3 linked regions of the Medicago truncatula genome follow. The main gene of each other region encodes a partner of the protein of the gene in region 2 in a complex. Links are inferred from orthologs where the notes say so. Each region holds a gene or a part of one and is shown on either strand. Other genes may lie near its edges.

Region 1 (8,783 bases), on a different chromosome or scaffold from region 2:
CTAAACGTGGTCAACGAAAGTTGAGGAATGGGAGAAAGAACTGTCATAGCATCTGAAAAATACCTCACCACACCATGAATGATGAATCTAGTGTTGTAAAATATGTCCAAAGCATCTTATCTTTTATCTTAAAATTAGTTTTCCATATTCTCTTACTTTCATGATTTGTTATTTTTTACATATTTCATTAGGATTAAGAGTCTAGTAGAGTAATACAGTAATAGATTAATATAAATAAAGACTCGTGTTTTGACTTCTGTAGTTAACATTCAACATACCATTCCTACTTCTATCATAGTTCTGAGTACCCCCACCTTCCCTTCCTCTATGCCTAAAACTAGCCCAATGACTTTAACAAGAAATATGAAAAAGCATATCTTCAAGCATGGCACCTATGCATACTCTTAGTAAAGTAGCTTAAAAATTGGCAGTCCCCAATGAACGCCTTGAAAAATTAGCAGTATATGTATCCCCATCACAACAATCATTGATGAGATCTACCGCTCCAACAAAAATCAGTCTTCCAATCCTGTTATATCTAGTATGGTTTTCAGTAGGCTAGCTAAAATCAATTAGTTAAATAACTTTTAGACACATAGAAAAGTTTAGTATAGGAGCGGGAATCCTGACAATAAATCTCTGGAGCATCAATACTATGACAACAAAGGTCAAGGACACAGTCTGAATACTATTTCCTACTCACGAAATACATGGATATGACATTATAGAGAGAAAAAAAATACATCATTGTTTCTTCACATCAGCATAAATACAAAATAGGCTTAAATAAGCCACAATTCTATTGTCAAATTAATTCAGATAAAGCACCCATGTCACACACTATCATTCTATTGTCAAATTCAAGCAAAAAGGACAAATTCTAATGTGGTGGAAGAACAATATGCATCACAAGTGCAGGTGGAACAAATTTCATATCTAGCATCTAAAACATGCTTCAGCCATAAACAGCATTAGGTGTGCTCAGTATAGGTTTCAAGAAGTTAATACAATTTGTAAAAGTAATATTACCGTGGTAGGAAGACCTTTGCCCTCCATAGCTCCCTCCTGGTCCTCTGTAAAATACAAAAATCATGCAAATACATATAAATGGACTTTTTTTTTTGGTGGGCGGTCTTTAAATGTGACAAAGTAAGATATACTACAGATTTGTAATCTTCTACATGAGGGCAGACAAAGCAGAGAAATCAAAAGACATACCTGGACCTACTAGTCCTATGACGCATCTCCTCTGGCCTTTTTCTTGTCTCTGCAGCCACAACAACAGATATTTCCCTTCCAGCAAAAATTTGTCTGTCCATATGGTACTGCGCCTCAGAGGCCTCATATGCATCCACAAACTGCACGAATGCAAAGCCTCGAGGTTGTCTGTACGGGAAAAAACAGAGCTTCATTCTAACACTGCTACAAAAATATTGGCAGAGAAAGACTGCAGAAAATGCTGATTAGGCAGACTTCGCATACCACAGTAACCACCTCAAATCACATTACATAGTATAGCTTTCTTTAGACAACCTATTAATGGCTCTCTTGAGACATGCACACAGCAGTGGACGCTGAATTACTAAAGCCGCTAAAATCCAAAGCTTAGTTGTGACTGGGCCTTATCTTTACATTCAAGTAGTAAAGTGACTTGAAAAATTCTTCAACATTCTTGTTGTATTTATAATCACTTGAATTCAAAGCTTCCCACAACCACAAAATAAAAAAAACCTCCTCACAAAGTCTTCAATAGGACAACCAACCAACTTGCATGAAACTTGTATTCATTGAGTTGCGTAATTATATAGATTCTCTATCTTGGTATGACATTAACACACTTGGAAACCAACAAGTTAAAGAGTGAGTAGTTCTCTTCAAATGTGGGGCTTGGGCTTGTTTTAACTTCAATTTCAAACCAACATACCCCCTGACAAACCAGTCAAAATTAATTCATAATGCAAAAGTTTAAACTTATAAACCAAAAAAAAATTACATTTTGGTCCCATCTATTTTCAAATTCACAATTTTGGTCTCCCCGCATATTATCTTTTACAGTTTTAGTCCTTGCACTTTCAGACTTTGGTCCCTCAATTTTGAGTATTTTAAGTACTTCTGGTCTCCAACATAACGATTTTTGGGGACCAAAAGTTTGGAAAAACCGTAATACTAAGAGACCAAGTGCCTGTTTGGATTGGTTTATATGAACTTATCTATTGGAATAAGTTGCTTTAGCTTGTGACACTGTTCATAAACTGTTTTCAGCTTATTTTCATAAGTTCTCCAAGATATCTAATGAAAATAGCTTATAAATTTTACGAAAAGAATTTCAATTTATTTTACATTCTGCTATAGAAATATCTTATACATAAGCATTTGTGCTTTAAGCTGCAAATCAGCTGTTAATCCAAACAGCGCCCAAAAGTACAATAAAACAATTACAGAAACCAAAATCCCAAAAAATAATTCGCAAGAACCCAAGTCATGAAAAATAAAATAGGGAACCAAAATCGTAAATTTAAGAAAACAGGGGGCCCAACACCAAGACATGACACAGAACAGACCACCCCAACCCAACAATCAACCTGTCAAATCTAACTCAAATCTGAAAAACACAAACATAACAAACAACACACAACAACAAAACACAAACAATAAATATGAATAATTACGCAGAGTTGATCACAAATGTTAGCTCACCCAGAGTAATAATCCTTCGGTATGTAAACATCGCGAACCGGTCCAAATCGCTCGAACGGCGCTCTCAGCTCCTCAGGTCTACAATCCAAAGGAATGTTCCTCACCAAAAGACTTCCATTGTTGCTTTCTCTACGTCTACCACCACCTCCACCACCACCACCATATCCCCTCCTACCACCACCACCTCCACCGCCACCCCTACCGCCGTATCCTCTCCGTGGAGGACTGTAGTAACCTGGACTGTTCCTCCGCATCTCTTAACCTAACCCTAATTTCAAAATTAACAAAGAATTAATGCAAATTAGCGTGAATTCGAATGTGTTTAGTGTTGTTTGAAACGAATTAAAGATTGGAATGATGAAAAAGATTATGAATTTAGAAAATTGTTACCTTGATTTGAGTGATTAGAGAGAAAAGTACCAAAAAATTCGTATGCACGGGAAAGAATAGAAAAGAAAAAGAAAGCGTTGAGAATGTGTTTGTTTTTTCATCTGAGAAACCTATTTTAAACCCTAGATTAGATTTCACGTGACCACTCCAAACGCACCGTTTCATTCATAAGTAAATATTATATATATATTTTTAATTATCTTTCTTTTTTTGAGGGAATTTTTTTAATTTACACACCTCTTATTGAAATTTTTGAGTTTGGTCATTCACAATTTTTTCTGTAAATTAATATGAAAATATCATGGATTATTTTAAATTTTATTTTTCTTAGAGAATAAATTAGTTCATGAGAAAAGTGTGATTCTAGATCTTAGTCAAACTCATTTCAAATAGATTTACACAAACTTATATGAAGTACTTTTTTTTTGTTACAAGTACATTTACATAACTTAATTCATGAACATTCTAAGTTATTAGATTTTATTTTACTTAAAATCAATTCAAGCACATTTGTCTAAACTCAGTTCAAGTACATTTTTATAAAGTCAAAATTATAATTTTAATCTATAATCTTTAAATAAAATATTCATAAACAAAGATAAATGAAAGATTATAGATTTAAAGATTGAGAGGCCATAAGAAAATAAAGTCATGAATTTGAAGCTTAAAAATTCATATGCAAATAGATAAAAAGGACAAAATTGAAATGAAAAAAAAGAGATAAAAGACCAAATTATTGCCTGAAATTAAGTTAAAAGATTAAAATTATAATTTTGCCTTTTCATAAACTTAGTTCAAATATGAGTTACTAGATTTTACTCAAACTCAGCTAGAGAACACTTACACAAACTCAACTACGTAAACATAGTTCAAATGTGTTTACATAAACTTATTTCATGTACCATATATACACTTTGTTTTTCCTTTTTTGAAGTCATGTATACTCTGGGTTGCTAGGGTTTACTCAAACTCAATTCAAGTATGTTTACATAAACTTTTATGTACGTTTATGCAAATTCTATTCTTCAAGTACTTTATGCTAAGAGTATTTTGAGTTAGAAGTAAGCAAGAAAAAAGGTGTTGTAATTACCAAATGACTGAATTATATTACATTATGAAATTTCTACCGGAATCCAAATTCTATTTTTTCCTTCACAATGCCAACTTCTTGGAAAGGCTTTCTGCTGATTTTGAGCAATGCAAGGAGAGGGAACAAGATTTACCCTTAACTCAATGATAACAATAAACAATCCAAACTCCTTAGCTCATTGAAGAGCTTGAAGAAGTTCTATGGCCTCACCTTCCTTGACGGTTCCCATACAACTGCTATACCATAAAGCAGCTGTTTAGGATCTGAATTCGTGAGATTTTGCATTTATAATTTGCAAAAACTAGAAAACTTTAACATTGTAAAAATGACATGGTGCATAGTGAACCACTTAAAGGATTTGTATTCCAAACAATGCCTATGTTTTAACAGCAACAAAAAACAATAAATTAACAAAGGGGGAAAAAATCTGTTTTAATAGTCAGATTTTTACAAGCTGGATCAGCAGTTGCGACATAAATAAATAAATAAATATATAATGCAAAAGGGGTCCAATACATGAAAAATATCTCCCAAGTGCACCATATGAACTACAAAGTCCTAATCACTTATAACCAACAATATTTGCTTGTGGTAGTAACTAATTTCCAGTAGGTTGTTTCTTATGAAAATTTCTCTTAGCTGCCAAAGAATCTAAAGACTTTCTAAGTTTCCAAACCTGCATACCACAAAAATAGAGCTAACAACCACATAGATGTTTCTCCACATTTCTCTGCTAGCAAGAAAGTTGACATTACAACTCAGGCAGTAACAGGAAACACCTCTATCCCTTCATAATTGGTAATTGAGATTATACTCATTTTGGTTGATCAAACCTCTCATTGTTTTAGTCCGAACTTGTTTAGTATATGCCATATAAGTAGAAAGTTGATAACGTAAGCAGCCACGAAACTGACACTATCAACCTGTAACTGCAAGGTCCATATTTGGAAGCTGGGATTCCAGATTGTTGTCAGATTCTGTGACCAAAGGAGTTTTCTGGAAATTGTTCCGTAGCTGACCACAAGCTGCATTTGCGTCCAGTCCTCTGGTTTGGCGTACACTAGTGGTTATTTTAGATGACTCCAAAGCATTAACAAATGCTTGCACCTACCAAATTACAAAGTATGGATTAAATACTCTAAAATTATTGAATACATCAAGACATAAATTATAAATCGTAATCAGAATGAATGAAAAATAAGAAAATTATCATACTGCTTTTCTGTAAGGACGGCGAAACTCAGAGCCTTCTATTGGATTAAAAGGTATAAGGTTGACATGATAACCACTGCCATATTCATGTAGTAGTTTAGCGAGTTCTACTGCATTGTCTACTGAGTCGTTGATTCCGGCTGCTCAAACATAATGCCAGGAAAGTGGAAAATACATCGTAAGAATTTCATTAACCTTACTGTACAAAGGAGAAACAAGAATTTGTTGGAAACTTTCTGTGTACCTAAAAGTGCATATTCAAAGGAAACCCGTCTACTTGTTTCGTGGAAGTATTCCTTGCAGTCTTTCATAAGTGCATCCAATGGGTAAGACTTTGCACTTGGAACAATTGTCTCCCTTAGTTTCTGGTTAGGAGCATGTAGGCTGAAGTAAGATACAAAAGGGAAATCATATGTTAGAAAGAGAATTATTTACATGAACGAGTATGAAAGAATCCACTAAAACAAGCCACCGAATGATATATTTTGCAGCCACAAATCAGACCAGACCAAACACCAGAGTATGAACAGTGAACGAAGAAAGGCATGAAATAAAGGCATATTGCCTATTCATTGTGAAGTTCTATTTCTTGACTGACAAGATCAGAATCAAGGACAATTACCTCACAGCTAAAGTGGATTGAAGTTTATGAGTAGCTAACTTCTTTATTGTATTTGGAACCCCCACGGTGGAGATAGTCATCATTCTTTGCCCAATTTGTATATCCTACAAGAAGCCCAACCAAAATCCAACATTAGCACACTTACATGCTATTACTATATGCTCTCTATCATCATAATAAAATGAAATATAAAAGGTGAAATAAGACCAAGCAAAATGTTATTCTGATCAGTAGTGTCAATCACCAATCGCAGAAGATAGCTGTTTGTTCAAATTCTGCTATGCAACAGTGCTATAGCACAAATATAGTTGCTATTTAACAACATTTTGCACTAAATAGCGTATCACGGAGCAAAAGCGATTAGTTCAAATTCTGCTACGCTATATTGTTATACCCGCTACTTGACAACACTGATGCTGATACATGATTTCTTTTGACGGATGAGTATATGTATGCATAAATATTTTTATGCATGTGAGACTGTCTATTCTGTTCTATCTCGTTTATCCTTTCCAATGGAACTAAAACATATCACTTTTTACGTTGCAAGTGTATACTGTTCTGCTCTACTTTTAAGTTTTAACATGTACCAAACATAAAACATAACTAATTTGCTCTCTTATGTTCTGGCCTGTTTTAATTTCTATAAAACTTCTGGAAAGAAAAAAAGAAGATCCATAAAAAAATCCATGTCCCCTCCTCCTCACGAAAAGATAATATTACGTAAAACAACCAATTCAGTAGCAAGAGAACCTAACACTTACTAAGATGGAATCAAATTCAGTAGAGTAATATTAGATTTTTATATTGGGCTTAGCTCATCCTTACAAAACCGATCTATAAGGTGAGGAGTACCACTCATTATAAACTCATTTCAGGCTCTATTTCTATTCTATGCAGATTTGGTTTTTTTCCCCAATAAGTAACAACCAATGAGTCCCAGAGTTTAAATGATAATGTTAACCTAGTTAAGAGCAAAGATGGCAGATGCAGGTTTAAACTCTAAAAATATCATATAGAGAACTGTTACAATTACAAGCAAGCATTTGATAAGGAAATAATGTCACATATGATAGGCATTCATTCACCTTATTCAAGCAACGGTGTGCCTCAAGTACTGCCTTCAGGTTTAACATTGGTTCACCCATTCCCATAAAGACTACATTAGTCACCCTGCGTTTGAACACCTCCTCAATGGCCAAGACCTGTTTAAATAAAGAGCTCGCTTAAAAACAATTGCGAACCCGAAAATGATCTCATTGCTTTATTTGATCTTTTTCCTTTCTTTTCTGTTAACATTTTTATTTCTTTTAATTAAATCTAAATTTACAGATCACGTGGGAAATCTAACATCAAACTACTCTAATGTATGTATGGACAGAAACCTGCTCAACAATTTCATGGCTCCGAAGATTCCTAGAAAAGCCGCCTTTTCCAGTGGCACAAAAAGAGCATTTCAGAGGGCAACCTACCTAAATATCCAAATAACAGAAGGACATAACAAAAACAAATGGAAAATATCAGTTTCTTGATCAATAACACAAACATTACTGCAAAGAAAGAAAACAACAACTCATTCATCGATGATTCAAAAGTAAGTCAAACACCTGTGATGAGACACATGCTGTCAGGCGAACTGAACCCTTCTCATCTTCAACAGGAATACCAACAGTTTCAATCAATCTGTTGTCTTCCAACTTTAATAACAACTGCAAAATCAAATTCCAACAAATAGAAAAACAAGAATCAGTGCATAAAAAAAAATCAAGGAAACATCAACAATCCCATCCTTTAACAAGCAAGTTAATATCCTACCCTTCTTCTTAAGAATACCAAGTAAAACACCAAAAGAAAACAACTTGAATCATTGCCGGAAAAATGAGAACAATGTCAATGGAATCAAATTACATTTGTGTTTAGAGGTAAACATCTCAAGATATAAAGTGGTCACTAAAACAGAAATTTAAATCATTTAAAAAAACTAAAAGCTACAGAGCACAACAATACAACAACGTTAATGCTAGAACCAGTGCCACACAAGTTTAAAAAAATATAAAGTTTTTCTTATTGAAAGTATAGCTTTTGAAATAAAGAATGTATTGAATGTTGTGATACCCCATAAATCAGGGTAAGGCTGCGTACAATACACCAAATGGTGGGACCCCTTCCCGGACCCTGCATATGCGGTAGCTCTAGTGCACCGGGTTGCCCTTTATACCCCATAAAAATGGTTAGCAGGAACCATAAATTAAAAACAACAACAATAGGTTTGCTGAGCTGTGATTATATCTTTTACCTTCACAGTTCCATCCGTTGCAACAACAGTGTTGAAAATTGGAGACCGTCCCACCTTCCATCCAGCTTCCTCAAGCTCATTCCTAAATGCCTGAGGCACTGCAATGCAAGCAAAACAACAACACCACCACATCAAAAAGTTAGTACTTTCATTGTCAAACACCAGACACTACACTAACACGAACAAAACCGACACCAGTGATAATTTTATAAAAGTAGAAGTGATTGAATATAGCCACATGGGTCCATGTCGTGTGAATAACACTGACTCAAATGAAAGTGATTGAATGTAACCACCTGTGTTAGTTGTTGTATTTTATTTGGAATTTATTTTAAAGTTAATTATTAAATTATTATTATTCTAAACCGTTTTCTTTTGACCAAGTTATTTAGCTGCACACTAATAGGGCATACAGTTTTGCAACGTTATTATATTTTAATTGGCTATATATATGGGAGATGAGTTTTCCTGAAAAG
Region 2 (8,317 bases):
GCTATTAGTTAAACCTCGCGCTAGAACAATTTACAAATTTGTTAGACTTTACGAAAACTACCTCAAAAAATAGCAGGACTGGAAAAAATTAACTCACTACAGAAGTAATTGACAGGATTATCCACCACCTTTTGAAACACATGACTAGAATTAATAGCAACTTCCTAAGCACCAAGCATTTTTTTACAATTTAGCACACCCTAATCAGCCAATTTTATACAATATAGAAATATGTCACAAAAAATCATATGCCTGTACCATCTGACAGGAAGCTTGGATGAAAATGGTATGCAAAGATGATCTAATGTAATTTTCAATTCTAGTGCAGGCTACACTCCACACATTACAATCATGATGGTCTGATATAATTTTCCCAAGACTATAAAGTAGTAAAACCACGATATACAGCAGATGGGGTTGAGCCTTCATGTGCACAAATCTAGAGAAGTTAGTTCAACATAGTTGTCAAGAACTACTAAAAATAATATTGTTCCCCATCCTTTTTTGTGGGCATCAAATGTTGTCCTATGGAGGGGTTACTAATACACAGTTCTATCAAATCAAAAAACACAACCACTTAGTTCAAAAAAAAAAAAAAATACACATCCACTTGAATCCTTGGGTCAGGTAATGATTAAACACTGTTTTACACCTCAATTGACAATTTCTCCTTCAATAGCATAACTCAAACAGCAATAACAAGCAATCAAATGGATTATAAAGTATTGAAAAAATTGATAACTCGTTAAATAAATTTAAAGCTATCGATTACATTTCATTCTAGTAGAGAACCATCGATTAGTATAACATGAAAACAGAAAGCCAACAGTTCCACTCTAGTCTCAACAGCTGTAGTCAATATCCTCATTACCAGCCATAACAGTCCATTAATGGCATAAACCAAACAGCAATGGCAGAAAGCAAATGTATTATCCGGTAATCAGGCATGAAAAAACTAGATATATCATGGAGTACATTGTAACAGCCAAATACATTTCATTCAAATAGTGGAGATCTACTTTAAAATTTGAACATTGCATTTCACTGAATATAACTCCATGGAAAGATAAATAACATAAAAAGGTTTCAAAACAAAATACAAGTACATTTCACCACTTATAAGGTGGTCCATAGGCTTGGGGCAAGAAAAAGTAAGATAAATAACTCAACCACGTTATCCTTACAATCCACTTAAAGACATGCCAACCTAAGCATGATAACAATTAGCCTTCAACACTGATCCACTTAACGCCCTCTTTCAAATCCAATGCGAGTCCTGCCAGAACCTCCATCAGAACTATCTCGCATTGAAGATCCGGCACTAGCTCTCATAGTTCCTCCCCCACCTACATTTTCCATGGCCTTCTTACCCTTCTTGACCTCTGTCAAGAACTGATCAAGACCAAATGGATCAGCTTCTTCGCTCTCAAACTCAACCGGCCTATCCCTAGGAGGTGCCCTTTCAGAAGTCCCTGTAAATGATTTGTCAGGCTTAAAGCGATCAGTCTTCATAATCTTCTCCAGCTGCTCGTCTGCACCTCCATAAGCTTCATTATCAACATCCTTCTTCGGCCTGTACAGGGTGGAAAGTGTTGGCTGTGCATTGAACAAGCCTTTATCATACACATTATACTGATCATCAGTGGCAAATCCAGAAGACATTCCTTTATCCTGGTTGAATAGCCTCTCATCATACATGACCTCTGTCCCTTGCTTGGTGGAAGCCATACCAAGAGCAACTTTCTCACTTATATCACGATCCCTATCTCTAGTAATCTTGCTCTTCTTTCCCATGGCAGCATCCTTAGCTTCTATCCTTCTCTCCTTCTCCCTCTCCTTTCTCCTTTCCATACGAATCTTCTCACGTCCCAGCCGCTCCTCTTTTTCTTCCCGACTCTCCTTGGGATAGTTCTTTTCCCTTTCCCTTTCCCTGTCTCTATCCCCTCTATCCCCCCTGTGGTCATAATCAACTCTCATATCACCATCATCCACACCACTCTTTTCCGAAACAACGGGAACAGCAGCAGCCGGAGGAGCCACACCAATTCTCTCTGAGCGTGCTTTCTGAGCCAAAGCCCTCAACTCCTGTTCCTTCCTTTCTTTCTCCTTCAAAAGCATCTCCTTCTGCACCTTAGACCTCATAGCTACAGCTTCTCTAGCCTTCTGCTCTGCGACATACAAAGCCTCAGAAAGCTTAGCAAAATTATCATTAATCTGAACCTCTTGAAGCCCTCTCCCATCAGCAGCCAACCGCTTATCAAGAGGAATAGTATAACCCTTAGGATTCTTCCAATTCGAAATACAAGGTGGTATCTTCCAATCCTGCTGATCTTTCACAGTAACAGGCCTCGGAGGTGAATGCATCACAGGCACAGGAGGTGAACCCGAAGCCTTAGGAACCCTCTTATGCTTAAATTTTGGAGGCTCAAGTGGATCCACAGGCATCTCAACCATCCTAATAACCCTCTCCCTCGCACCAGAATTAAAAGCCGCATTCTGCTGCGAAGGCTTATACTTTATATACTTAGAATCCGAATTATGCTTCGGAACATTCTTCGGCTGCGCAGCACTAAGCCTCACGTTCACAATCTTCTCAAGCGCCGCCTTTGTTTCCTCCATAGTCTCATCAATCTCACGCTGAGCATCCTCGTCCTCACCATCCTCCATTTCATCATCTCCATCATTCTTCAAAATCTTCGGTATCAAATCCTTATGCTGGGTATAAACAATCTTCTTAGCATTCTCATTCTGCTTCACAATAGCATCATAAGCAACATTACCATGAGCATCAACCGTAACCGGAAGAATCTTCGAACCCGGCTTCGAATTCTTATTCCTTCCCATATCAAGCGGATACTGTGCCACATGGATCTCCGGGAAAGCTCCACCTTCTCCAAAATCCTCAACCTTTCGTGGAACAAAACCAGATCGTTTCAGATACGGTGGTACAATTTTGGGTGCGATTGCAGCGGATTTCTCCTCTTCCGTTGCAGTGAATCTTTGCTTAAACCATGGATCGTTGCTATGATCATAGTATGTTGTTGTGGATGATTTTGGTTCTGGAAGGAGTTCCTTCAGAGCCGCCATGGTTCTGCAACAAAAATCAATTTCAAAAAATCAAAAAAACGAAACCCTAATTTATGGAATCGATAATTAACGTCGATTAAAATAAGAATTAATAGAAACAAATTGGTTGAAGAAATATTACTTGTGAACGGCGGAGGACGGTGCAGTGAGGATCAGTGGCGCGTGGTTGAAGATGACGGTGACGCGATTTAGGGTTTATTTGCGATTTTGATTTTCCTTTGAGACTTTTCAATCTTCAGTGTGTTTCGTTCGGGTTCTGAGATTTTTGTTAATTTTTAATTTCTGATTTTTATATAGATAAACCAATGTCGGTCTAGTAAAAAATTATACACAAGATAACGATTAACCCGGGTTCTTAGTTATACCGGTTCAATAATAAAACCAGCTCATGAACCACATATAAACTCTTTACACTTCTCTCAAAAAAATAAACTCTTTACACTAATGACTAATCTTATGTTATATATAAAAAATTAAAACTATTACTTTCTCACTCAAACTATTTCTCGTGCGTCCTATTTTTGTAGGAAAATGTCTATGTGATTTCGGATTTTATAATTTGAATTGAGTTTTTTATCTGTTATGGAGTGAAAAAAAAATGACTTTTTCACCAATTTAGATTCTTTAAATCCGAAAACTTAACAAAAAGAGCGCGTTCCTTGCTTTTTCGGATTATAGAATCAGGACACCCCTAAACATCCTTTTTCAATAGAAAAATAGTTCGGATTATATAATATTAACTCTACCAGCATAACTTCTGATGCAGTGTTTGTTTTAGCGGTGGAGTACCACATTTGCCAAGAAGTTACAATTTGTAACTTGTTAAAACCACGGCCAAGTTACCCTGGGACGAGAGAAAGACACTTTTACCGCACATCCAAATAGGCTATGAGTATTTTTGTAAAATGGATAACAAGTTTAAGGATCATATTAATCTTCCCCATCCTTTTATTTTAGATCATTTTTAGTCGTTCTTATCAAAAATCTGGTTTTTGCAATACTTGATCAGATTGCTGCGATACTTCCCCAGAAAATTAAAAGAAAAAAAATCAAGGATCAAAATTCCCATAGAAGGGACTTCTTACGAGACTCCGTCCCTCAAAATTTAAAATTCCATCGTTTAGACCAATTTTTCTTATCTCATAAAAATTCGAAAAAAAAAAATTTCATTAATTTAATTTTGATTTTTAGAATTTTTTTGTGGTATTTTTATGATTTTATTTGACATGTTTTTTAAAAGCAAAATTCAAAACTGCTAAAATGGAAGAGATTCTAATTGCTGATTATATATAAACATATTTCGGATTGTATGATCCGAACAGATCCAAACTGTGTTCAGATTTTATAATCTGAAATCTCATGGGTATTTTATAAAAATTATATGGCGCGTGAGAAGTAGATAGGGTGAGAAAAATAATAGTCATAAATTAAATCATATGAAGCCCGAATACTCCATGAGACGCATCCATATCGGATTCAAATATGGATACTCCACAGATATGCCCATGGAGTGTTGGAATTAATTATTTTAATTTTTTAAAAATATTTTAGCAAATACTTAGATGATACTTCACAAATACATAAAGATGCTTATAAAATACTTCACAACTACGTATATTATGAAAATTCAATCAAATACCTATATTATGAAAATTCAATGGAAGTGTATATGATTCAACTTTAGATCTAAAATAGTATAATTATTTTTGGATGAACCACTTAAATTTTTATTTTATTTTTGTGGATGAAGGTAATGAGAGAGAAGATTTAATTAATCAACATTAGACAAAATTTGTGTTGCGTTATTTTAATGATGCTTATGTTGATATCATAATATATGAATGAAAATATAATATTATTTATATGAAAATTTTATTTTTTATTTTTTATTTTGATCACATGTATTATTTTTAAAAATTGTGACTTTTAAGAGTAATGAATGTTTTTTTCTTCGAATGTTTTACATTCATATAAGTTTTTGTATAAAAAAATTGTTAATGTATTTTAGTCGTATCGTATCTTCAATTTTAAATTTTTGCGTATTTACTTATTCGTATCGTATCATACCCACACTCGTATCACGTATCCGAATTTCATAGATTAAAACACATTTTTAACTGCCAAAGTTGGTATGTAAATTTTAAAATTATCTTCTTCTTTTTTTTTTTTTTTACCATTTGGTATATAGGGAAAAACTTTATTAATATAGAGTGTTTTCTTAAGAAGTAAATAAAATCAGATAAAAAACTATTTCATCTAAAAATGAACTTTAATTTTTTCAAACAATTCATTTTAGGTGGAGTTTATTGACTATTTAAGCTTGGTTGAATGATCTTTAATTTAATTTGCATACATTAACAATTTAATTTTGTTATATACAAATCGATTTAATCAAAATCACTTCATGATGCCACTTTTTAAGATTAGTTTTTAAATATCTTTATTTTTTTTTTCAAATAGCTTAAAGACTAGAATTCATTTTTTAAAAGGAATAAGTAAAAATCTCTTATTCAAACATCAACCCATACCGTTATTAATTGAGTTATGTTCAAGAATACTCTTTATATTCATCTATTTGACATAATTTGATTAAAAGCACGTGTGAAAAGTTTTACGGAGCATAAAACTCATCTCACTTATATTTTCATTATTCTTAAATAACTCTTGGTCTCTAACTCGGAACTTGAGTTTTTCTAAGATTTCAAATAATCCGAAAATTTAGTTTAAAATTAAAGTCTTTTTTTTTACTCTACACATGAAATTAAGTGCAAGAAAATGATAAAGTATGTTTATGATTTTAGGTCCTCTAAAAAAAAATTATGCTTTGTCAAACCTGAATTACAAGCTGTAACAAAAAATAAAAAAAACTGAATTACAAGCTAACATTGATAGATATGAGAAGTTGAACAACATACTCGCTCCGTCCCTTAATATAAACTCATTTTGCTTTTTTCACATTTCTTATGAAAAGTTGTCGGTGTAAATAATGTGTCTGTTTTGTGTGTTAATATTACTAAATTGTCCTTTGTTTGTATATGTATTAAATTTGATTTTTCAAATTTCAAGACAAGTTAGTAGTATTAATTAAGAGTATGTTTAGGAAAAAAAAAAATAAATACATCTAATAATTTAAAAAGAGATTTATATTTAAGGATAAAAATAAAATCGAATGGATTCTTAAATAGAGGGAGGGAGTGAGTATAATGGAAAACACTCACATCTAATATTTTAAGTAAAAATAGTGTTTCCCTTGGTTGCTCAAAAGTCTAATATGATTACTCATTCAACGTCGTAAGACTTCCAAAATTTCAACACATATAATACTAACAATACTAATATTTGTTGTTAAAAAAAATATTAAATTAGAAAATCTCATAGAAAAAAAAAAGGCTTTCGAGGCATGGATGACAAGGATGACCATTTCTCTTCCCCCAAATTGAATTTGATATGAAGTTAGCTTAATTTATATATAAATAGAATATATATGTTTTTTTTTTTATAAAAAAGTTTAAGTGTCTAGAAGTCCTAGCTCAACTGGCAAATGCCGAAATTGCAAGGTCGGACGTCATGACCCGGGTTCGAACCCGGGACCTCACAGTTGTGTGTGTGTTTATTTTCAATGGATTACCACTTCATCTAAGACCAAAAAAAAAAAAAAAGTTTAAGTAAGTTGGATTGTAACATGCTTCAATTGTAACAAAAAAAAAACACGCTTCAATGCTTAAAGAATTTTTTATATAAATACTTATAAGACGTCCATTAAAAAGGTTATCACATTGACATCACAATGGAACCAACACAATTATAGGATATGGACCAATTTTTTATCAACTAAATCAAATCAATAAAGAGTTAGTTAGAAACTGAAGTATTTTTTAGGGGCCTAGAATCTGAAGTTGTCAAGGCATATTTCATACATGCAAAACAAATTTACAGTTTATGTTTTATTTTTTTCAACTACAAGTAACATTTTGGAAAAGGCTTAAACGTATTTTTGGCCCCATAAATTTGCACTAGTTGCGATTTTGATCCTCTATTAAAAAAACCACATTCCAGCCCCGTAAGTTTCTTTCCTGTTGCAACCTTCAATTTTTGTCATTTAAAATCAACCATTCAATACTGTAAAAACAAGTGGGTGTTTTGTTGAGCAAATTTCAGATTTATAGGGCAAATAATGTGGCTTGGGACCGGTTTCTTGATCTTCTACTGTCTTGAATAGTTGATCTTAAATGACCAAAATTGAAAGTTGCAATAGGGGAGAAACTTAGGGGGCTATAATGTGTTTTTTTTTAATAGGGGGCCAAAATTACAATTAGTGCAAAGTTAGAGGGTCAAAAATGTGTTTAAACCTTTGGAAAAATGTAAACAATATAACAAGTGAATAAATCATGTATTCACAAATGAAAAAAAGAATTAATCATATACTTATTTTTTTACGGAAAGTGAATAAATATTTGTACATCTATTTTCAACATCCTTTTTCTCTTTATTTTTGTTTGCTTATCACATTACAGTTATATCATATCATATCTATCATAACATCTTGATCCTCTATATCCTGCTAGAAATGTGTAAGAGGTGTATCAGTCTTTTTTTGATAGTGTAGTGTCTGAATTTGAATCCTAAACCTTGCATATATTATGCATTATTCCTACCAATTGAGATAAGCTTATGAGAATAAAGGTGTATTAGTCTATTAGATTAGATGTGTACCAAATAGTTTCCATAAATCATATTGTGAAGGAAGACTCAAGAAATTGAAGAACGCCATGAAATTGAATAATATTTTAAATTATTGATAGGTTGGATTTGGATTTCAAGATGGTCGTTAAGAAATTGAAGAAGGCCATGATCCATGCACGAGTGGTAGTTCATAGAGAATGTTTTTAGTTTATTTTATTTTATTTTATTTTTTGAAATAGTTAAAAGAGAATGTTTTTTTTTTTAGGGAAGTTAAAAGAGAATGTTGTTGTTAAGAATATCTGCAATTAACCAAAAATGAATGAGTGATTCATGCCTTTGCATTTTATTAAAAGCATTGAAATTTCAAACACATACTAAAATAAGTATTAGTATATATTTTGGTAAACGTATGTCTTAGAGCATATGCAAAGACACTTGTATATTTTGGTATATAAATATGTGTTTCAAGCTCAACACTTCTACATCCTTCAGAAAAAAAGCCTGACACTTCTATAGTTTAATAGTTGATACTCTTCCTACTAATTAC
Region 3 (8,051 bases), on a different chromosome or scaffold from region 2:
CATACGACAGCATAAATATAGAAAAGGTAAAAAGCTGATAAAGATATTGCAAAACAAAAACCAAAATAAATGTGTACCTTCACTGTCACGGGAAACTTCAGCAAAGCAAACATCACCAGCTTTTCGCATATGATCCTGAAACCAAATATTAAAATTGTAGGTGCTATGCTGATGATTTGAGTATCTCTCATTTGTTATTTTTTATGAACATTTTGATACCTTCAAATCCTGCCAGGATGCAGAAGATGGGAGTCCTCGAACAATAACTGTAGTAAACAAAAACAAAAAAGACTAAGATACTATGGTGTGTAGAAAATCACGAAAAGTTAGAAAACAAAAATATCTTCAATAATTATTGCCGATTGGCAATAATATGCATAAAAGTAGAACAAAAATCACTTGTAATTTATGAATCACATAAAGCAAACAAGCACATACAGTAACAAATATCGAAAATTGTGAATTCATAAACATGCAGATAAGAGTCATGGACAATGGTTCAAGAGTTCTCAGCATGAAAAATCTTAGAATGCCATGAATCGGGGAAATTTAAATTCCCTTTTTGAAAGAAAATTTAAATTCTTCCTTAAAGAATGATAAACATGATATTAGTCGGAGCTTAATGGGTGAACAGCCTAAATGAAAAATAAAAATGCAATTCCGCGTTTTTTATTTGGTAACAAAATACCATTCAGCATATGTTCCCTATCATTTTTATATTGAAAAAGGAATCCCTAAATAGACACACCTCGAAATTCAGAATGGCGAGAGACACCAAAACGGCCCCCACCAGCACTATCACCGCCGCCGCCTCTTCCACCGCCGCCGCCACCACCACCATACCCACGTCGGTCACTTGATGATGGCCCTCTGCCTCCATGGGCGAGCTCCACCTACAACAAGAACAGATTAGGCATTCCGAAGAAAGTTTTCACCTCACAAGACAAAAGTTGGAACAGTCCCTTACTCTTAATCGACAACCATCAAAGTTGTAACCATCACGACCCCGAATTGCATCTTCAGCATCTCGAGCATTGTCAAACTACCAAGCCAAAATACAAGTAATCTAGTAGTGAGAAAAAGGGTAAAGAGTGTCGCCAAGACAGAAATATATAAGAGAGTAATTATAAATACCTCAACAAAACAATAACATGGAGGGCGAGGAGGAACCTTCAATTCAATTTCCATTATGCGGCCATACTGTTAAGGGAATAATGGAAAACCATTGTAACATGACTATGTTAGTACATAACAATCAACCTCAAACATTGACCCTTGAAGCTACGTATAAGATAAGAATCAAGCAACAGATATAACTAAGGGTAAAATCCAAATCCAAGTTAACAAAGCTAAGCAAACTATAGTCCATTCAAAGGAAAAGGAGGTCAACAGAAAAAATACATGGCTGTAAGTAGTTAAGAATATATGATTCTTTATCCTTCATAAGTCATAAGAATTGAATAATGCAAACTATCTGCTTGTCAGTTAAAACAACAAACAACTACCCAAACCTTTTCTCGTTAACTGTTATCATCTGAATTGAATATATGTTTAATGAATTTTACTAATCGGTTAACATAATTGTAATTGATTTCCAGTAATTAAACAAAAAATAAATAGAGAAGTAGAAATGCAGGTTTGAGTAAAAGAAATTTTCAGTTCAAAACTCCTAATGGTGTAAAGGTAGGTTCCAGACAATAGGAAGATATAGAAAAATTCAGTAGCCAAACAAATTGAACAAAACACAAAATATCATGAACTAATATCATGAAGACATGAACTGAAGGCACCATAACATGGAAAACAGGAAAAGTACGCAGCTCAAACCTTGTAGAACAGATCTTCAATTTCTGATTCTCTTATATCAGCGGGCAGGTTGCCAACATAGATTGTGCGAGAAAAGCGACTACTCATATTTGATTGGAGAAATTGTACAGTTCTACAAAAAAACGGAAGCTCATCAACAAGTAGAAATCAATTACTGTCTGAAGCCACGCCTAAACCTGAAACGCCTAACTATCATCATTCTAATGATTACACAAACAAAAGTAAATAAAACCAAAACTATGAAGCAAACCAAGAGAGCAATCCTTGAAGAGAGCCGTGCTCCACAAGCTCCATTGCTCATTTGCTCCAAAGATGCTCCAAAGCTATAACAATATTGAAAATAAATTTGCTCTCCTCATCCTTTCCAGAAAATTAGCAAGCATAATCCTTCTGAGAGTGAGGAAGAATCTCCAATTATTTAAAAAAATAACCACAACTCCACCCCGATTCTCCCACTCCCACTCTATATTCCCTATGTTTGATTGCAAAGCTCAAATTTGTCCAAGCGCTTGTCATCTATCATAAAGAAAGCATTTGTGTCATGAGATCAAATTATGATCATATACTCAACAAGTTACCTTACTCATCTCTCGTTTAACCGCTTTGACAGATCAAACCCTAACATTACCCTTTTTTTTATTGATTAAACTAGCACTAATGGCCATTTTACAACCGTCCCCGTTGGTTACAAGGCTAAGCTCTTACCACTGAGCTGGTGCCTCAACTGTAAACATTACCCCTTGTTAATTTTACACACACTTGTTTTAGCTGCTTATTCTCCGGGACAAGTAACTGGTACTACATTCCTATACCCTCACCTCACAATCTGAAATACCCATGTATACAATTCACAAATCCTTAACTAGAATCATTACCCTTTTACCAGCTTCTTCAATCTCGTCTGCAGATTTCACCCCGTGAAATACACAAACTTAAAACGCAACCACATCACCTAAATTGGAGATTATTTTCCAATAATAACTAAGATATACAGAACAATAAAAATTCAAAATTCTAACGTGATAACTAAGCAGAGTCTTCAGAAATTGCACCCAATAGCATACAAGGTGGGCAGGCAAAACCCAAGTTGCGAATTTTAAAAAAAATTCAAACTTGGAGCTCAACGATGGAAATGAGATAAAATTTACCTCAAAACCCTAATTTAAAACGGGAACATTCAAAATTCAATAGAGGCATGAAACAAATTCAAATTCAACAAATCAAAAGAAATTTGATGCACGCCATACCAGAAAGATTACAGCTTGAGCACCCAATCGCTGCAAAACTGAAGCCGAAGCTGGAACAAGATCCCTACGAAATCGAGAGAAGAAACGAAGAGTTTGAGGCAAGAGATTAGGGTTTAAATCTATGGATCCGAAACGGGTTTGGGCTTCAATAGAAAAGGAAAACGGCCCATCCTTTGTTAATGATTGCTAATCGCACCCCTTATATGCTCAAATTTGTACGACGGTATATTTTCAGATGAAATACACCACTGAAAACGTGCTTCCGATATAATACCTTATTTAATGGGGAAAGGATGAGAAATAGTCGTAATTTTTTTGAGCATTTTGATTGGGATTATTTAATTTGAGGGAGAAATTTGCTATTTCAAAAGGACATATACACTTACATCTTGCCACCCTAACAAAACCACTTAACAAAAGGAGCATTTTGATTGGGATTATTTAATTTGAGGGAGAAATTTGCTATTTTGTAATTTAGGATCCCAAATTGTCCGACGCTCACAATTTTGAGACTCAATTAGTTTACTTATTCTTAAAGAATCTAAATTAGATAAGAGACAACATGAACAGGTGTTTATAAGCGGGGACAATCATCGCATCACAAACCAGTTTTGTAAGGTTGTGATAGGACCAACCATAAATTATAAGATTAATATGTAAATATCATTTATATGTAGGGTGTAAATATATTTTATATTGATTGAGAAATCACAGTTATGATTTGACAATGTCTTGATAGTTAAGATACCCTTGTATATATACACGATTATGCAATGAAATATACGAGCCAAATACAATCTTACATGTCCAAATATGTGATGCAATGCTCAAATCTTCTATCCATGAACCAAATGGCCGAATATACAAGATAAAAAAAAACACAGGTTTCTAAAAGAGTGTTGTGTGGCGTGCATTTAAATCATTTTCATCTTATATTTTGTTGATCTAAAGAAACACAGGTTTCTAAAAGACAATCTAAACTCGCTTCATACCTAAACCAAAACCCTTTTTACTGTCTGGCAAAAAATATACGAAGCAAAAACAAAAATCCGACCTACCGAACCAATGGACTAAATTGATGAATTTTATATAGTTTAGAGAATATTTTTTATATTTTTATAGTTTAGTGACTAAATTGGTGAGAAGTTGATAGTTCAAGATTAAAATGATGGTTATTCGATATTACACTTTAATATTTAGGTCTCTTCAATATTACATAGATTAAGGCCCCGTTTGGATAAACATCTTATATAGATGCTTATAGCATTAGTGCTTATAACATTAGAGCTTATATCATAAGCTCTTATACTTGATAAGTTATTTATGTTTGGATATGTACACTAAAAAGTACTTACATAAATTGAAGTGTTTGGATGTGACATTACATAAGCAATTATCGAAATTTTAAATATTTTTAATTTAACAAAAAAATCAAAGAATTGAACCACAGTTATCAAGATTTTTTTTGATAAAATTAATCAAGGTGTAAAAAAACAATATTATAACATATTAATTATAATTATATATATATATATATATATATATATATATATATATATATATATATATATATATATATATATATATATATATAGTATAATCAATATTTGTTCTTAAAAAAAATATCAATATTCATATAAGATAAAATTAACATTAGAGGTGTAAATAAACATATCATATATATTGATATTAGTGTGCAGTTTGTTACCCAAAAAAGACAAGTTAAATTTGTTTTTTTATTCAGTTTCATTTTGTTACGTAACAAAAAAAATAATAAAAATCTTCTTAAAAAAAAAAATCTTAGTTACGTTTGTTACTTTAGTAAGATAAGTATATAACAATTTTGTTACTGATGCACCGCCAAAGATAACTAACATTATAATTAAAATATTCTTTCAAAAAAAATTATAATTAAAATATATGTTTTGAAAAAGTGGATCTAGAGAGAATCGAAAGAGGTTACATAAATTCATAAGCTCCTTGTTAAGCCAGAGGGTAAGCTGAAAATTTAGGCTTATTAAAATATGGCATAAGCAGCTTATGAAACTATGATAAGCTATTTTTATTTATTTACCCAAACGCCTTTAAAAAGGCTTATGGGAGTAGATAAGCCCACATAAGCTCAAAATAAGCCAATCCAAACGGGGCCTTAGACTACTAAAAATGATTTTTTATTATTATTGTAAACAACAATTATTTATCATAAAATTATATATTTAATATAAAGTGCAGATAAACTTTATATTTTTGACCTTTTTTACACTTTGAATTCTCTTCTTCGTTCTTCCGATCACTCTTTCATCCCTCATTCAAAGATATATTTGTTTGTCTCTTTCTCCCTTAATTTTTTCCTTGCATGTTCTCCCTCTTGGGCCTCCACAATATGTGTCTATCTGTCTTTAAATTCTAGAGAGAATATCAAGGTAGAGAAAACGTAAGGAAAAAAGATTGAAAGGCAGACGGACACAGATCTTGAATGAGGGGGAGGATGGGAGAGTGATTGGAAGGAGAGGATGCAAAGATTTTACGGGAACCCGAAGTTTCTTGATCTTATTTGTTTCAGAGCTTTGTTTCCATGGATTGCCGTGTTAGTAATAATTATATTCATCGCACTAAGAACTTTAAAAAGAGAGAGATCATGCGGTGTAAAAAAAAAAAAAAAAAAAAAAAGGATAGCAGCCATATATGGATTAATTTCTAAACAAAAACTCTGCTTCTAACTTTATCTGTTCTCCAATTATGCAGACAGCTGATCTTTTTATCCTTCTGTTCGTAATATGTATGTTACAACAAAAATTCAGATGAAAGTGGAAAGTGAAAAGTAAAAGAAATTGTTATCTTTGTCTATGGAAATAACCAAAAAATTAATGAAAGAATATATTTGAATACCAATATGCTCAGCACAGATAGCATTGAGACATGTGCGTTGCCGGAGCACCTTATAACCTATACCTCTCAAATTTCAGAAAAATTGGATGTTGTATATCTATAGACTGTAGTTATGATATGCACGTCCACTATCAGTCATTTGGATCCATTTCCTCATCTTGATCCCAGACTTGAGTCTGATCAGTTTTACCACCATTTTTTTCAGACTCAGATTCATCAACAAAATCATTACTCTCATAATCTGGGAGCCCATCGTCTTCAGATTTTACCCCTTCTTTCCCCATCGAACCTGACAGACTAGCATGCTGCATCCATTTGGGGCAAAGGTCTTCGCCTCCATATAGAAATTGGCCATCCTCACCTCTAACGCGGTTAGCAACGCTGGCAGAAGCTACTCTACAAGATCATTCTGGAAGTGGATGTGAAAGGAACATTGCTGGTTTTGACAATCGAGATTGCCTTATGAGGCCTTCCTCGGTCATACTTTTGTTAAGATGTTCTTGCACTAAAATTGTCCAATTGTGTTTTGGATGGTACAAATTCTCACGGTTCATGTTGAAAAGTTCCGCAACAACTTTCCTGTAAGAAACATGAGGAAATAGGGTCACTAAAATGTAGAATTAAGGGAAATTTCAACTAACCAAAACCACAATCAACTACATGGTTTTCAAAGAATTAGAATGCTGAGAAGTTCAAAGCGCGGAAACAGAAGTTCATCATACTCATCACCTTCAGATGCATACATACATGCAATTCTCAAGGCATCAAGACAATCAATAAAAAATTACCGCATTAGAAAAAACATAGGTGGAAAGGAAGGAAGGCATACTATGCACACAATTTATTGACAGAACAACACATATGCATAAAATTTATCCAGAAAGTGCCAAAGACAGGCCCTAGGCTTGTCTGTGGTCTGCTGCAAGAGAATTGTCTTGTCTAGCATTTGTTTAAATACTGACATGTATGGATGTCTGGAATAGGACCGAAGAAAGTTGTAATAGTGTTCTTTAGATAAATATTCAATCAAGAGTCAAGACAAAACATGCCATCTCTGAGCATTGTTGGTTACTGAAGTGGAGTAAAAGGAAATAACGTGGCTCGTTGCTCTATATATTTACCCTTTCCCCCACATAGTTCCAGCCCAAAAAGAAAGAGATCACAAAATAATGTCATCTTTCACCCGCTCATTGAACTCAGTAACTTGGCAACTCTAGTTCCCCAATAAAATAAGAAAATTTGATGATTTATATGAAACCTTTTTATATCTTAATGAATATCAATAAATTGAGACAAACACCAAAGAGCACTTACCTGTCCGGTCGGTATGTTCTAGAAGAAGCAGTCTCGTGCAGCCGATGTCCCATGACAAGGCTTGAAAAATATGGCCATCCACTTCCATCATTGTTATATCCAGGAAAGAAGGCATCTGCTTCCAAAGAAACAATGTAATCTAGTGTGTCCCAAAGTAATCTATGCGCTTTCATCCTCATATCCATAGGTGAAGGATCAGGTTCTGTAGGGGTCTTAGTGATCCAACCATACCAGCCTTCCTTTTCATGTTGGTAAATTGGTCTATTTGGAGGTGGCGGTAGAGGCCGAGGCCGAGGACCGGCCCTCTTCCATTCTTCTTTAAGTTCTTCCTCGCTTTTTGAAGGAGGTGTCCGAAAAATATTTTGAGGAAGAGGTGGTTCAGGTCCAACCAAGTCAGACAATTCTTTCTCACTGCACAAGGAAGTGCGATCCAGTGTATTGATAAACATGGACCGCAAAGGAATTAAAACACGTTGACCTCCGAATGTTTCAGAGCCAGCCAGGTAAATTATTGTTTTGGAAGGATAACCCATTACTCGAAGGAGAATGCCAACCTGTAAAAGTTTAAACAAAATAACAAATCTAATCTCCGAACGGTAAAAAAAATTAATTCCAAAAGGCAATTCATATTTATCCACAAAAATGGAAGCAATGCTCCCAGAAGGCCACATTACTTCAATTTTAATTGTAAAATTTGTTGCACTCAGGCTAGATCTTGCACGCACAATTGAGAGCCATTAGCATTTTAGAGTTGCTCGACAGGTATTTTGGGTG

What was found.
Region 1: SNW/SKI-interacting protein (region 2) and serine/arginine-rich SC35-like splicing factor SCL30 share a complex: the UniProt entries of both Arabidopsis thaliana proteins name them as parts of the spliceosome. The link is inferred for Medicago truncatula from reciprocal best matches to the Arabidopsis thaliana genes SKIP and SCL30.
Region 3: SNW/SKI-interacting protein (region 2) and serine/arginine-rich splicing factor SR34A share a complex: the UniProt entries of both Arabidopsis thaliana proteins name them as parts of the spliceosome. The link is inferred for Medicago truncatula from reciprocal best matches to the Arabidopsis thaliana genes SKIP and SR34a.

Annotation. Positions count from the first base shown.
Region 1 is NC_053046.1:35,351,370-35,360,152, reverse strand, and holds the start of serine/arginine-rich SC35-like splicing factor SCL30, read right to left. Parts: upstream 3,231-8,783; 5' UTR 3,088-3,230; intron 2,966-3,087; 5' UTR 2,952-2,965; coding exon 2,698-2,951; intron 1,387-2,697; coding exon 1,219-1,386; intron 1,074-1,218; coding exon 1,030-1,073; intron 1-1,029. Other genes in the region: probable dual-specificity RNA methyltransferase RlmN, read right to left, coding at 5,096-5,284, 5,393-5,529, 5,634-5,773, 6,012-6,115, 7,100-7,216, 7,397-7,483, 7,619-7,720, 8,308-8,405. UniProt on the Arabidopsis thaliana protein: Involved in intron recognition and spliceosome assembly. Probably active at the 5' splice sites.
Region 2 is NC_053043.1:11,530,875-11,539,191, forward strand, and holds SNW/SKI-interacting protein, read right to left. Parts: upstream 3,371-8,317; 5' UTR 3,209-3,370; intron 3,092-3,208; 5' UTR 3,088-3,091; coding exon 1,246-3,087; 3' UTR 930-1,245; downstream 1-929. UniProt on the Arabidopsis thaliana protein: Splicing factor involved in post-transcriptional regulation of circadian clock and flowering time genes. Associates with the pre-mRNA of PRR7, PRR9, ELF3 and GI, and is necessary for the regulation of their alternative splicing and mRNA maturation.
Region 3 is NC_053044.1:45,763,569-45,771,619, forward strand, and holds the start of serine/arginine-rich splicing factor SR34A, read right to left. Parts: upstream 3,231-8,051; 5' UTR 3,075-3,230; intron 2,344-3,074; exon of another isoform or gene 2,078-2,343; intron 1,940-2,077; 5' UTR 1,915-1,939; coding exon 1,828-1,914; intron 1,201-1,827; coding exon 1,135-1,200; intron 1,043-1,134; coding exon 968-1,042; intron 894-967; coding exon 749-893; intron 267-748; coding exon 220-266; intron 136-219; coding exon 78-135; intron 1-77. Other genes in the region: protein EMBRYO SAC DEVELOPMENT ARREST 30, read right to left, coding at 6,368-6,542, 7,278-7,831. UniProt on the Arabidopsis thaliana protein: Probably involved in intron recognition and spliceosome assembly.